Lepisosteus oculatus: one gene and its partner. The protein of the gene in region 1 purifies or fractionates together with the protein of each later gene. This does not show direct contact. Links are inferred from orthologs where the notes say so. Each region holds a gene or a part of one and is shown on either strand. Other genes may lie near its edges.

What was found. The genes of interacting proteins can lie anywhere in the genome.
Region 2: the proteins of traf7 (region 1) and map3k3 purify together in Homo sapiens (affinity purification with mass spectrometry; 5 studies listed by BioGRID and IntAct, with this or other methods). This does not show direct contact. The link is inferred for Lepisosteus oculatus from reciprocal best matches to the Homo sapiens genes TRAF7 and MAP3K3.

What each region holds. Positions count from the first base shown.
Region 1 is NC_090714.1:12,215,289-12,221,567, reverse strand, and holds the start of traf7 (E3 ubiquitin-protein ligase TRAF7), read right to left. Parts: upstream 4,326-6,279; 5' UTR 4,244-4,325; intron 4,231-4,243; exon of another isoform or gene 3,832-4,230; intron 2,113-3,831; exon of another isoform or gene 1,924-2,112; intron 1-1,923. UniProt on the Homo sapiens protein: E3 ubiquitin and SUMO-protein ligase that plays a role in different biological processes such as innate immunity, inflammation or apoptosis. Potentiates MAP3K3-mediated activation of JUN/AP1 and DDIT3 transcriptional regulators.
Region 2 is NC_090723.1:1,797,770-1,804,048, reverse strand, and holds the start of map3k3 (mitogen-activated protein kinase kinase kinase 3), read left to right. Parts: upstream 1-2,059; 5' UTR 2,060-4,000; intron 4,001-6,279. Other genes in the region: translational activator of cytochrome c oxidase 1, read left to right, coding at 153-362. UniProt on the Homo sapiens protein: Component of a protein kinase signal transduction cascade. Mediates activation of the NF-kappa-B, AP1 and DDIT3 transcriptional regulators.

The DNA.
Region 1 (6,279 bases):
AGACCATTCCTTGAGTATGGAAAACTTCAGAACCCATCCTTTTTGTTCTGCGTTCCTCACCCCCCCCACAGTCTCAACCGTGACAGTAAACCGAAAAAAATGAGCACGCGTCTAACCACCAGCGCTGCAACAGTCTGAGCAGGAACAAAAGGGCAAAGACACAGACAAACGGAGAAGTTGGGCAGGGCTCAGAGACTACAGAAAAAGGACACCTGTACGGCACACTGGGCACAACAGAACCCACCCAGAACTAAAGCACCAGTTACTGTTGACCTAAGCAGTGGGAGGCCTGATTAGGGGGGCAGGGCTGGAACTACAGGATTTTTTTTTCCCATTTCTGAAACCAGAAGGACACAAAAGAAATGGCCCTGTGAAACTTCGCTGAACAGTCAGTGGTGAGTGGAGAGTCAGCTGGCTTTGCAGTAGCAAAATCCAACCTACAATTAATGCTCTCCAGCCATGGTGGAGATTATACACTACAGATCCCCAAATAACAGGTTGCAAACCACCGTCTGTTTCACAGTAATTCACTCAAGGAGTCCCTTGCCATTTTCCTTCTGTTACTAATTTCTATTCCTGGTTGGAAAAACAGCTATCCGGTTGCTGACAATGGCCTGATCCCACACTGTACCTGCGATACTGTGCATCACACAAGAGGGCTGCCCGTGCTGATATGAGACAGAAAGCACTGTATCTGCAACTTAATTATCACAAGTACACAGGTAGCCCCCATCTCCCTAGAAGGTGGACAACCTCTAAAAGAATCTCTCCTTTTACTTTACTCAATTTTTCCTCAAAATCACGTCTTCCAACAACTAGAGCTGGAGGCTGTGTGGGCTAGTAGCTATGAAGAAAGCTATCCCTCATTATTGACCTCAAACTGACATGGTCTTCACCTCAGACTCAAGGGACTATGAAATGTCCTACTTTCCACATGCTGTGTACAAATGTAAGATGAAGAATTAACAGTAAAATGTGGCACTGGAATTTGAGGTTTCAGTATCCTGCGCTGCAGAAACATTACCATCAAGTTCCTGGGAAAATGCCTCGCAGGTAAACACTTCCGAAAATTAGACGCCATACTTTTGAACAGCGAAGAAGGAAAATAGTCATCAATGATGGTCACAACATATGTTCCAAACAACTAAGACCATGTTCCAAAGTAGGAAAAGAAATTCTAAACCATCCTGCTCTATAAAGCCTTAAACGACTTCTGACAGTTACTAACTAGTTTAAAAGACTAATATACTGAACTCAAGTTGCCTTGGATAAACATCGGCGGCTACATACATCAAAATATTATTTACGGCAATAATTATTGGCGACAAGGATGCGATCATAGCACAATGTTAAGTCAATCCAGTGTTTATGATGAATCTTGCAGAAATCGATTAGGAGAGATGACATAATCCATTTGTAATCCCGCGGTAAAGGGTTATCGACTACAAATTGAAATCTGGAGATACAATCGGGTCTGTTTAAGAATATTACTTCTAGAGGGAGCAAAACAAAAGCACTTCAAGATAACCCTGTCAGCGCTAGCTACCACCAATAACAAGGAGAGCTCGGAGCTCAAGAAAAACTGCGCACTACTGAATTCCGTAACTGCGTTAAAAACAAAACCGGGCTGAATGAAATCGATGGCTCGATTAAAAAGAGAGAAGTGAGAGAAGGTCCGGGACCACCTCCCCCTGCAAAAAAAAAAGGCAACTCAAAGTCAGCCAACCTGATTTTGGAAAATGTGACTCATACCAAACGAAACCTTAGAGGGAAAAATAATTGAAAACGTTTTAGTTGATTAAATGCGCTAAACAAAAATTCCAGAAAGTTACTGTTTGCGAGCGATGAAATGCCCGAATAAAACCCCGATCACACAGCTAAATGCACAACGTCAGAAGACAACGCTGCGGTCCGGCTGTTTACCTGTTGGGAGACAGTTACCTTTAATTCACTCACAAAGACTGTAAACCTACAGCCTTGCGTTGAAGTCTAGTGCACATTTCTGTACCATAACGGTAATGAATGAAACAAAAGTTGTTCAATTAATCCGATTACAGTCCTCAAAGCACGCTGAGACCCGTCTGCCAGTGCTGCTCTGCACGGTGATGTAAACAGAAAGGCACGCGACGGGACTGCCTGTATGCTAATGAGGCGGCGCCTCGGCCAATCGGAACACAGGCTGCCCACTCTCCGCTTACTACTGTACTATTCCAAAGTGACGTCAGTGTCCCTTACCAGCACTTTTTTTTTTAGATTTCACAACAGTAATGAATAGAGCCGCCTACGCCGTATCATAGTCCATATCCGAATGCTAAAAAAAAATCCGGAGCTGTATAATTTCCGAGACGAGTTCACAAACACGTTTAAGTGACCGTAGCCGTCTTACTGATTGACATCAATCTGTTTTTCCTTCCAAAAATCGACACGAGGCTACAAATTAAACGGCCTCTACTTGCGCCACACAAAAGCATTGTGTTCTTTACTTGTTCCGAGTGCAACAGCAGCAACTCACTTTGATATGAACACAATTGCATGTGTTGGTACACCGCCTGCTAAGTAAATAATTACATTCATAACCATAGCTGAGAGCTCATTAATGCGAATGGTTTCAAAGGTCAACAATTATTACATTACATCTGCATCCGTTCTCTATAACGATTTCGCACTTTCTCTGTATAACGAGTACAGTCGCTGCAAATTTAACATTTTTCATTCAGCGTGTCACTGTATATCTGATACAGCGTGCTCCTCGCCCGTACCACTTCGGGTCAGATTCAGACGTCTGTGGCTTTTTCCAGACTCGCACTCCAGGAACTGCAGAGACTTCGACGTTTCACGATTTCAAGAACAGGTGGGTACAAGGACAACAACAGAAACGATAGTACCACCACGTGCCCCCAATGCGATACTTAATTCATTCGCGTAGCCAGCAAAGTGAAGACTTCATCTCTTCAATCAAACTCGACGTACTAGTTTTAAGGGAGAATGCGTTACTAACGTGACACTGAGAGCTGGAGCAATGAATCGGATATGACGCCTGTGTCATTTGAACAGCCTGTACACAACAATCTGAAACACGGGTGCATACATGTTGGGCTTCATCACTCCGTTCTCCTCCCCACTGAGAGCTGGTCTGTGGGGAGCGTATTGGTGCACTATGGCTGCCGTCGCATCATCCAGCTGGGGCTGCACACTGGAGGGGAGTCCCCATGATCTGTCAAGCGCTTTGAGGGGAGTGTCTAGAAAGGCGCTATATAAATGGAAGGGTTTATCCCTTAAGATACTTCTATTAACGGGTCTATGAACACGAACAGAGAGTTTATAGTATGGATCTGCTGCCACCGACAGTCTGAAATGTGAGCTTCGTTTCACTGTTGAAATCGACCGAGCCCCACTCTTCCAGTGCAAGCGGAAGGAGACCCCACAAATATCACGGGGATCTCAGCTCCCCACATGCCCCCCCCCTTCGGGGAACGTCGCCGTCTCAAACCTTTCATCACTAAACCGAAAGATACAGAGCACAAAGAAACGAGAGGACACCTCAGAAAGCATCACAGACCCCGAGCCCGTCCAGTCTCGCACGAACACAGCTGATCGCACCTCAGACGGGAATGCGCGTCGACACTTTGTGACACCAGACGGCTCGCTGGCTCTCAGCGAGATCTTCCCAGACACAGCGCCCGATGCGTGGTGCATCTCCTTCCCTCGGTGACGACGTGTACTGGCGCTTTTCGCTTATGAATTCACTGAATCAGCCAGCGCGACGGATCGCACACTAAACAAATGAAGCCCCTGCTGAGCCGGCGGCAGGCTCGGTGGAAACTCTCCTACCTTGCCAGGAACACTTCATCAAATGTTTTTTTACGGACGCTCTCCACATCAGCCCATTGGTTCGCAAGATAATCGTTGTGTCGCCAAGACACGTATGGCGTTAGCCAGCTGTGTTACGATTGCTTTTAAAGAAACGGAAACAGATGTCTAGGAGAGTCAAAAATTCATAGCAGTCTTGCAGTTGTATCCAGATTTTAATTAGACATTTGTTCTCGTCTCTCGGCACATGGATCGCTGTCGTACTCTCAATAAGCTGTGACTCGTTAGGGCTATTTCTGGTCTAGAATTAGGAGAGAGAGATTCCGTGTTACGATGGTGTCAGCCGCAAACACCCGAACCTAAGGGCTAGCAAAACAGTTTTGGTCGAACTACGCGATGGAAAACCTGTGTATAACGAACTCAAACCTCTTACCAATGATGCAAAAGCACTCAGCCTGCTCTTATAGTCCACATCTTCTTCCCTGACAGCAGCCAGATTTTTGAGGAAGTGAACTGTTTACCGGGCATTGTGGGGCTTGTAGTTCATTTATTCAGCTGGGGCCTTCGATTCCAAATCAATCCCCGATCAAGTGAGCACTACAGACCCCACAATTCTTTTCGACACCGCCCTCCCATCCACGCTCCGCCCACAGCTGAATGCTCATTGGCTATAGCTCCATCAGTCTATTGTACTACTTTTATCTACCGTTGGACGTCCTTCAAGTCAGTTTCCCTCTCACGCTAAAACTCACATTTGATTCGTGACCAAATACATTTTAAATAGCCAATAGGAAGCTTCCCCTTCTTCCAGCGGAAAAGGAGTGTTGCTTTAGAATTCAGAGGCGATTGGTTCCTTCGCATAAGAAACGGCTATTTTTGCATTGACTATCCAATAAGAAGTGTGAATTCAGGCCGGAGCCAGACCTTCACCCCATAAATTCATTTCGCGGTGCTATTGAGCCTCTCTTTTCGCTCGGTGGAGGTGAGTGGTGGTTTGTTTTAGTTGTTGCTAGTGTTAGTAAAAGCTCAGCATTTCCGTGCATTAGTTTTATTAAATCTGGCTTGTCTCGGGGAAGTCCAGCTGTCCATTACGAGTGCTTGCCGAAGTACTGAATGTATTGGGCGCTGCTGTTTTTCAGCGTAGGCGTGCTGGATTGACCTAGGCTAGGCCATGTGGGCCCAGCTTGGCTTTGTGTAGCTCCACGTACAAAGGTCTGCCCAGTTTGCAGACTTAAATGGACGCATCTGCGCACCCCAAGATGCGGCTACGGGCCTACATCGGGCCCGCTTGGAGTTGGGTTTCATGCGGGATTTTTACAAGACTAGCGTCCTTCTCTTATGAGAATAGTCTGAGTCTCCTTCAGTGTTAATGATGAATCTATTCTTATTTCTGACACTTCCGATGAACAGTCCTTGATTTCACTAAATGTTCTGAAACACTGTGGACTCGACTGATCGTCTGCACGTAGGATGCACGTGTAATATACTCGCTTGTGAAGTGAGAAGCGTGTCCTTTATCGGTAGAAGCTTCTCAGCGACTGAAAAGCTTCACCCCTGTTCGCCTAGGCTGTGCCTCTGTATTTGTTTCATGTGAAAGCGATTGCATGGGAGGTTGCGCTGAGATTGTTTAAGAAACCGGCTGTATATTTTACTTTTTGTTTTAGTGACACGTGGTGACGTGCTGCCGATCGCCGTGGAGAAATTCAAGATGGCGACGTCGCAACAGCATGTCCCGAGAGGTTGTGGGGACGGATCCGAGTGGAGTGGAGTGGCGGGGGTGTATCCGCAGGCAATCGAGTGACTTGAAATGGTGAGTCACCTGCGCGAAAATGGGCTGGTTTTTGATTGCAATTGCAGAATTCAAATTGGCCCCTAATCGAAATCTAGGTGGAACTGTCGGTTCAAGGGCTCCCCGTCTCTGCACAGTGTTCATGATGAATGATTTTTCCATTTCTGACACTTCCAATGAGCAGGCCACCCTGTGGCCTCTGATTTCAATCCATGTTCTGAAGCACTGTGGTCACTGCAGGTCAGGTTTGTGAAATGTTTCCATGATGCCCTACTCGGGACATGATGGCTAACCAGGACCTCTGTGATGACCTGAGCAGGAAAGATCTTTCAGAGTTGGGGGAGGAAGGATGGTTAACGTTCCGTTTCTTGGCTCAACAGATCACCCCAGACGACGCGTGCGTGCCTTGAGACGGGCTTGGGTGAAGAGCAGACGTCGAGAGATTTGAAAATGGTGAGTTTATCCTTCCGTCCGACTTTTAAATAATCTCCCCTCGATCTGACTGAACGGCTGCTCGCCCTTTCCGGTCTCTGCACAGTGTTCGTGATGAATTATTTCTTATTTCTGACACTTCCAATGAACATACTGCCCAGCAGTCCTTGATTTCACCTCATGTTCTGAAGCACTGTGACAAACGGGAAGCTTTTCGAAGGCAGCTGGTTTTTATCCGTTGATCCTGG
Region 2 (6,279 bases), on another chromosome or scaffold:
AATCACATTGTATTTAAATTTGGGTTTACACTAGGCAAGCATCGTGCGGTTCAGAAAATTGCCTTGAGCAGCGAAGTATGCAGTTTCTTGCCATATCACCAAAAGAATCGGAGGACGTCTTGCTCAGTGTTCCGTCGGGTCTCTTCCCCCAGTTCATCTGCGATGTGTCCTCGCTGCGCGGTGTGAGACAGGCCCTGGATTCCCTTGGGCTGCGGACGCTGGCGGCTGGCCCAGAGTTTGTTGCCTGCAGCTTGGCACAGCTGTCCCAGGGAGAGATGGAATCTGCCTCCAGGCTCCTCGAGGTGCTCAACGAATGTCCGGACGTCATCCGTGTGTGGGACAACATCCAGGGGGAGGCCTAAGCCTGCTTCTAACCACCTGCCTCCTGTTCTGGCCCTGGGCCAGTAGGGGAAAAGAAAGCAAAGGAGAGTTAACCATGGTAACCGGCTGACCTTCCTCAGGAAACATCATCAGGGGTCAAGCCCATATTTATCAAGGGATGCCCATAGTGGAGATCAGAGGCTTATCTAACTCAGTCTAGACAGCAAGAGGGGCTGTTGGCTGTTGTGCTGTGAGAAGGACAATAGTACAAGTTCTAGTGTGATCAAGAGCAAATTCCGTGTTGAAGGCCCCCACATAAGAGCATAAAAACAAATTGAGATCATTTGGCCCATCTTGCGTATTTGTTTACTCTCATTGATCAGAAGAATCTTGTCCAGCCTGTTCTCGAAGGTTCCCGGGGAATCATGCCTTCCATAATCCAGAACACTGGATTGCAAATGTTCTGGATGACTTTTAGATTCTGTTCAGAATTTTTGGATGTTGTATTGTACCTGTTTGAAATTAAAACCATTAATTTATGAAAGATGTGTGTGTGTGTTTTTTCAGGAATCAAAAAGCAAAGTAATACCCCTCTTGGTATGAATAGATATGACCGTATTAGGAGTTTAGCACTCACATTTCAGATTTTCCCAAATAACCTCTTCTACCACAATCGTGCCTTATTCCAACATGGATCATACATCATAAAATAAATGTTATTGTGTTTCACATAAAAATGTAGAACTGAAGCTGATTTTGAGTCATTCAACTCAGAGGATGGGGGTAAAGTGGTGTTAGGTATTCCTGTTTTTAAGTGTGAATGCTACTTATATTTAGAAGACATCCATCCACTTTTAAAACTGCTTCATCCACTTCAGGGTCGTGGGGGAGCTGGAGGCTATCCTGGCAAGGCAGGGTACACCCTGGACAGGACGCCAGTCCATTACAGGACACACACTCGCACCAGGGCAGAATCTCCCCGACGCCAGTTGACCTACCAGTGTGTCTTTGGACTGTGGAAGGATGCTGGAGCACCCTGTGAAAATGCATGTTAACTAAGGGAACTAAGTTAACATGCAAACTCCACACAGAGAGCACCCCAGCTCCCAGAATTGAACCCAGGACTCCAGCACAGTGAGGCAACAGTGTGTCACTGTGCACTCAGAGCACATAAACTACCCAATTGCAATAACCTGTGTCTTTGTATTACAACACTCTTTCTTTTAAGTTTTTTTTTGTCTTCTCTGTAGAAGAAATAACATGTGGTACACAACTCTAGTTAAATCCTCAACTGCTGATAAAATGTTTGATATTGATTATATCAAAATCTGAATTGCAGATTAAAACTTAACATTTCGGCTAAGTATCATGTTTAGGTTTTACAGATATTCAAAGTCGAATATCAAATCTCTGATGCTAGTAATGACATTTTTGTAAATACATCAGCGTTTCATCTTTTTTTTTATATGAGGAGCTTCTTTTTCGTGTAAAAAAAAATCTGAAATTTGTAACATCAGCAATTGAGGATGAATATTCTGTTTGAATCATCAGTATCCAAACCGGTATCGACGGGCAACAAAGCGAAAGCGCTCCTCTTGACCACCGATGACAAGCTCATGGGGGGGGCAAACCAAATATCGCGGTATGCTGGCCCTGCACACAAAACTAGATGACGAACCAGCACAAAGTTCATGACGTATTCGGCAAGGACGTCAGCCAGTAGATGCGTGTCTGTGTTGGAACTTGTCGGGCGCTGAGCGCGTAACCTGGCTGCCGTAAGAAATCTGCGGAGGAACTGCGCGCTCCCGAGCGAGTTTGGTGCTGTTTTAGTGCTCTTCATGTGAATTGTCGGTACCCTCAACAGTTATGGGGAGCATCTTATTGACCAGAAAGCTGAATGCTGTAATTGTGCCACGTTAAGGAGCTTTAAACTACTTTAATTGAAAAACAACATAACTTTAGGTTTTTTTTTTTTTCGGAAGCTGACTGATGGGTTCCGGTGACTGAGTGCGTTTTTTTTTTTCAAGTCAGGAAATTCGCTGCAAGGAGATTAAATTTACTTTGGAGCGATGTGCATGCGGACCCGAGCTCCTTCAAACACCGTTTCGTGAGTTTTTTTTTGTAAGGTCCCTTTTTGTTTTTTCTTCTTCTTCTTCTTCTTTCGGAAAAGCGGGTGTGTCTCGACTTCAGCCGAGCTGCCCTCTCCGCGCTTGTCAAAACCAGACCGGACCGAAAAAATACAAAGTTTTTTTTTTGAGGTGGGGGGGGCAGAGATCTGGGCTGCTGTGGCGAAGGTCTTATTAAAACCATCAAAGCAGAGATGGAGAAGACATGACATGCTCCGGTGGGAGTCTTCAGCGCCAACCTGCAGCTCTTTTCTGGGGGTGGAGGAGGGACACACTTTTGTTTTTAAAGAGGGTGTCCTCGTTTGCAGCGGTTTCCCTTCGCCTTTGGGGGAGAGAGAGAGAGAGAAAAAAAATGGAGATAACTGATTTTCACAACTTCACCATAACGTCACGGGTTTGCTTGCGCCGGGCTGCTCCGTCTTGTTTTTAAAACTTGACGGGTTTGCAAAGTCTGACGGACTCGTTTTATTACTTCTCCGGAGTCCCCAGCCTCGACGCCAGATCTGATTATAGCCCCCAAACCGGGGCAGTGATTTCATGATTATCTTTCTGCTCGACCGGACAAGCAGTTTTTGTTGGGGTTTTTTTTCCTTCCGCGGTGCATGAAAATACGGATCTTCTGTTTCCCACAGATCGTTAACATCGTTTTAACTTGAATAGTTTCGATAAGTGTTCTGGTTTTCCTTCTTTTTTTTTTTTTGGTAATTATTATTTTGTGGAGGCCCTGCGCATCTATCTATCGGGACTTTTGTGGAGAACAACAACAACAACAACAAAACAATATATCCTTGCGTGATAAGAAGACGGCGGAAAAAAAGTGCGAGTTTTGCAGGAAAGGCGTGCGATCGAGAAAGCGGTTTCGTGGTGTTGTTTTTTTTTATTCTCCCTCTCGCACGGACACCAGGATTTCATAAATGCCTTGAAGTCGACTTTCTCCACCCCGGGACACCCCTTCCACCCGTTAACAACCCGTACATGTGCATTTTTTTATTGTGGACTTCAGCGACACTCTGGAAGAAAAACTCGTGTTTTGACCCGAGGCCAAGAAAAATGTTTGAACTTAATTTAGCAGCAGACATAGCCTGGCTTCGCTTTTTTCTCTCGGCATGCTTGTCAGGAAAATCCAAGACTGCATTGGACGTTTTATAGCTGTCTGGATATTTTCTTGTCAAGGGGAGGAGAAAAAAAAGCAAGCTGAAAACAACCCAGAAACGAAATAGCACAGTTTCACTTTAATTCGTTTCTCTTTTTTTTTGTTAACTTGTAAATCTCTCGACAACCCGGGACTACAAGTGCTCTGACCGACAGGACTCGAGATTTGTTTTTTTGTTTGTTTTTTTCCCAGTTTGGTTGTGTTTTGCAAGTCCCGCGACCAGTTAACGAGCCTTTCGGGATTAAAAAGCGATGTATTTCGACAGCTAGCGAGGATGCGTGACAACTGAGCCCCCTTTTTGCAAGCGACTGTCGGACTGCTCGCTTGTTCGGGAGAGTCACTTGCGGAGTGAGCTGCTGCTGTTTTGCTCGGGCAAGAGGCAAGCGTGTTACCCCAGGAGGTGAGACAGCTGTGACATTACTCACTCTTTGCATCTGTCTGAGGTGGTGCTCAGCTCGCCAAGAAGGGGTGTACTTAATGCGTTAACGTGGGTTTTGTTCCTGCTTGACCTATAGAGTTGTTTTCTGTGATACCAGCTGCTGTATGATTCCTTTAAGAGGTCTGGAGACAGTGCGTCAAATTACCAGTTACATCAACGTCTTTTCACAGTTTCAGACCGTGATTTTTCCCAAGATTTCCATTGTGCACAGCTGACCCAAAATGGCCTTTTCCTTCTATACAGTTTGGTTTTTATGACGGGGCCTTTTGGGGGGAAAACTTCCCGTTGTATTTCAGCAAGGCAAGCGTCCAGCTCTTACAAATAATTGCTTTTGTCATGCATGCGTTCTTGGGCTTTAAATTAGAGAATTTAGACAGATATAGAAAGTTGCGTAGTGCGCTATGAGCAAGGTTCCTGTGCCGGTGACCTAGAGAGCAGAGGAGCTGCAGAAAAACAACTTTCGAAAACACGTGCTCGACAGTCTTTTTGACCAGCAGTATTGTTGTGGATTTCTTCAGAGAGGCATGGAAAGAGGTGAAAGGCTTGTACACAAGGCCTTCTCAGTGGCTGGGGGGCTGTATTTTTCACAGTGCTGAGAACACATGCAGTGTGCGTCTAGTTACGTCCTAAACAGGACACAAAACTTCACTTCATTCCTTTGACTTTGGCAAGTGCCTCTGCTCCTCAGTTGTGTGGTGGGGTTCAAGGATTTAGTATGTGAGAAGGTGCGGGTTTGTGTGTCAGTTTTGTGTTTCCATTTGTAACTCAACATCTATAGAAAGCTTATTCTTCTTATCGGCCTTAAGGCACAGCAGGCCAACTCTGGTTTCTGCACCACAGTGCAGCAGGTTTTATAGGTTTCTTACATCATCAACATGTAAAGACTTCAGTTAAGAGTTAAGCAGGTCCAGTCAAGCTGCTAATTAGCCATTTACTGCAGGTGATAGAATATTTTGTATTAGATAAAGCGATTAGAAAAAGGATGGAGGAATGATGGCGATACCCTCTTTGTTTTCAAAACCACTGTATCAGTAATGGCTCAGGCCTGACTTGTAGTCCCTCAACCTACTGTGGGATCGTTTTGAAAAGCCCACAAAATTGCCAGCCACTTTTTAATCCCTTACTTGTGCGCAAGGTCACCGAGAGGGGTAGTTGTTTCCAAAATTGTATAATCCACTCCAAAACCAAGTTGCTCGGACGACTAGACATCTTTGAGGCAGGCTAATGAAGTGTAAAATTGTGATGCCCCAAGGGGCATCCGTGACAACGGATTCCGTTGTGAACATGGCTTTCATCTGTTTACCTAGAAATCAGGGACAAAATCTGGAACAGCTCCCCGCTGTGACCCTTGGCTACCAGGTGGGGAGGCTGCATTGTCTGGGCTCTGCCGGTGTGGAGGCTCAGTCGGCTTCCATTGTTCACCCTCAGTGCTGTGCTGCTACTGCAGGTTTGCGTGTCGCCATCATCGGGTGTCCTCCCGGTCCCTCGCCCCGGTCCCTCGCCCCGGGCCCTCGCCCCGGTCCCTCGCCCCTGGGCCCTCGGGTTGGATGGAGGCTGTGCATGATTTGGAGGATGTTGTCGTACCTTGCCTCCCTCCTGCGTTGTTCTGAGAATTCCCTTGGTGTGCATTATTGCTTAGACCACTGGCGATTCCAAAATCCTGGGTCACGGTGCGACGAATTCAAAGTTAAGCTCCCAGGTTTGCCCGAAGGAGAAGTCGGAGAGAGATTCCAGGAGCCCTGCGCCACAGCTGTAGTTTTTTAAGTGGATCCAGGAGCTGCCCACGCTCACAGCAGGTTGCAGTTATCCCTGCGTGAAAACAAATTGCACTAGGGCCCCGCTCCACCGAGGGGAGCGGAGGTGAAAGCAGGGATTAGTCCTTGCAGCAGGAGGAGCTGTGCATTGTGATCCAAAAAATATCATTTGTTTCCGAGGCAGAGAGACGGGGTGATTCCAGGTTCGTTGATGGTGCAAACATTTTACCACGGCCAGCTTGTCATCTGGGTTTCAGTCTCGCTGACGGTGGTTTCCTTGAGCTCAACGTTGACCCGCTAGCTAGCCGGATGAGGTATTATTTAACAGTTTTCAGATCCTGGGGATTAGAAATTGGCCTAAGCTCTGCAGCTGTTATTACCAACAGATGCGATGCTTACCGAGGGACTGATTGTTTCAGTCAATTACCCATCTGATCAGCACCGATTCGGCAACCTATTAAAAGCTGTTCATACAGCATTAGTGTA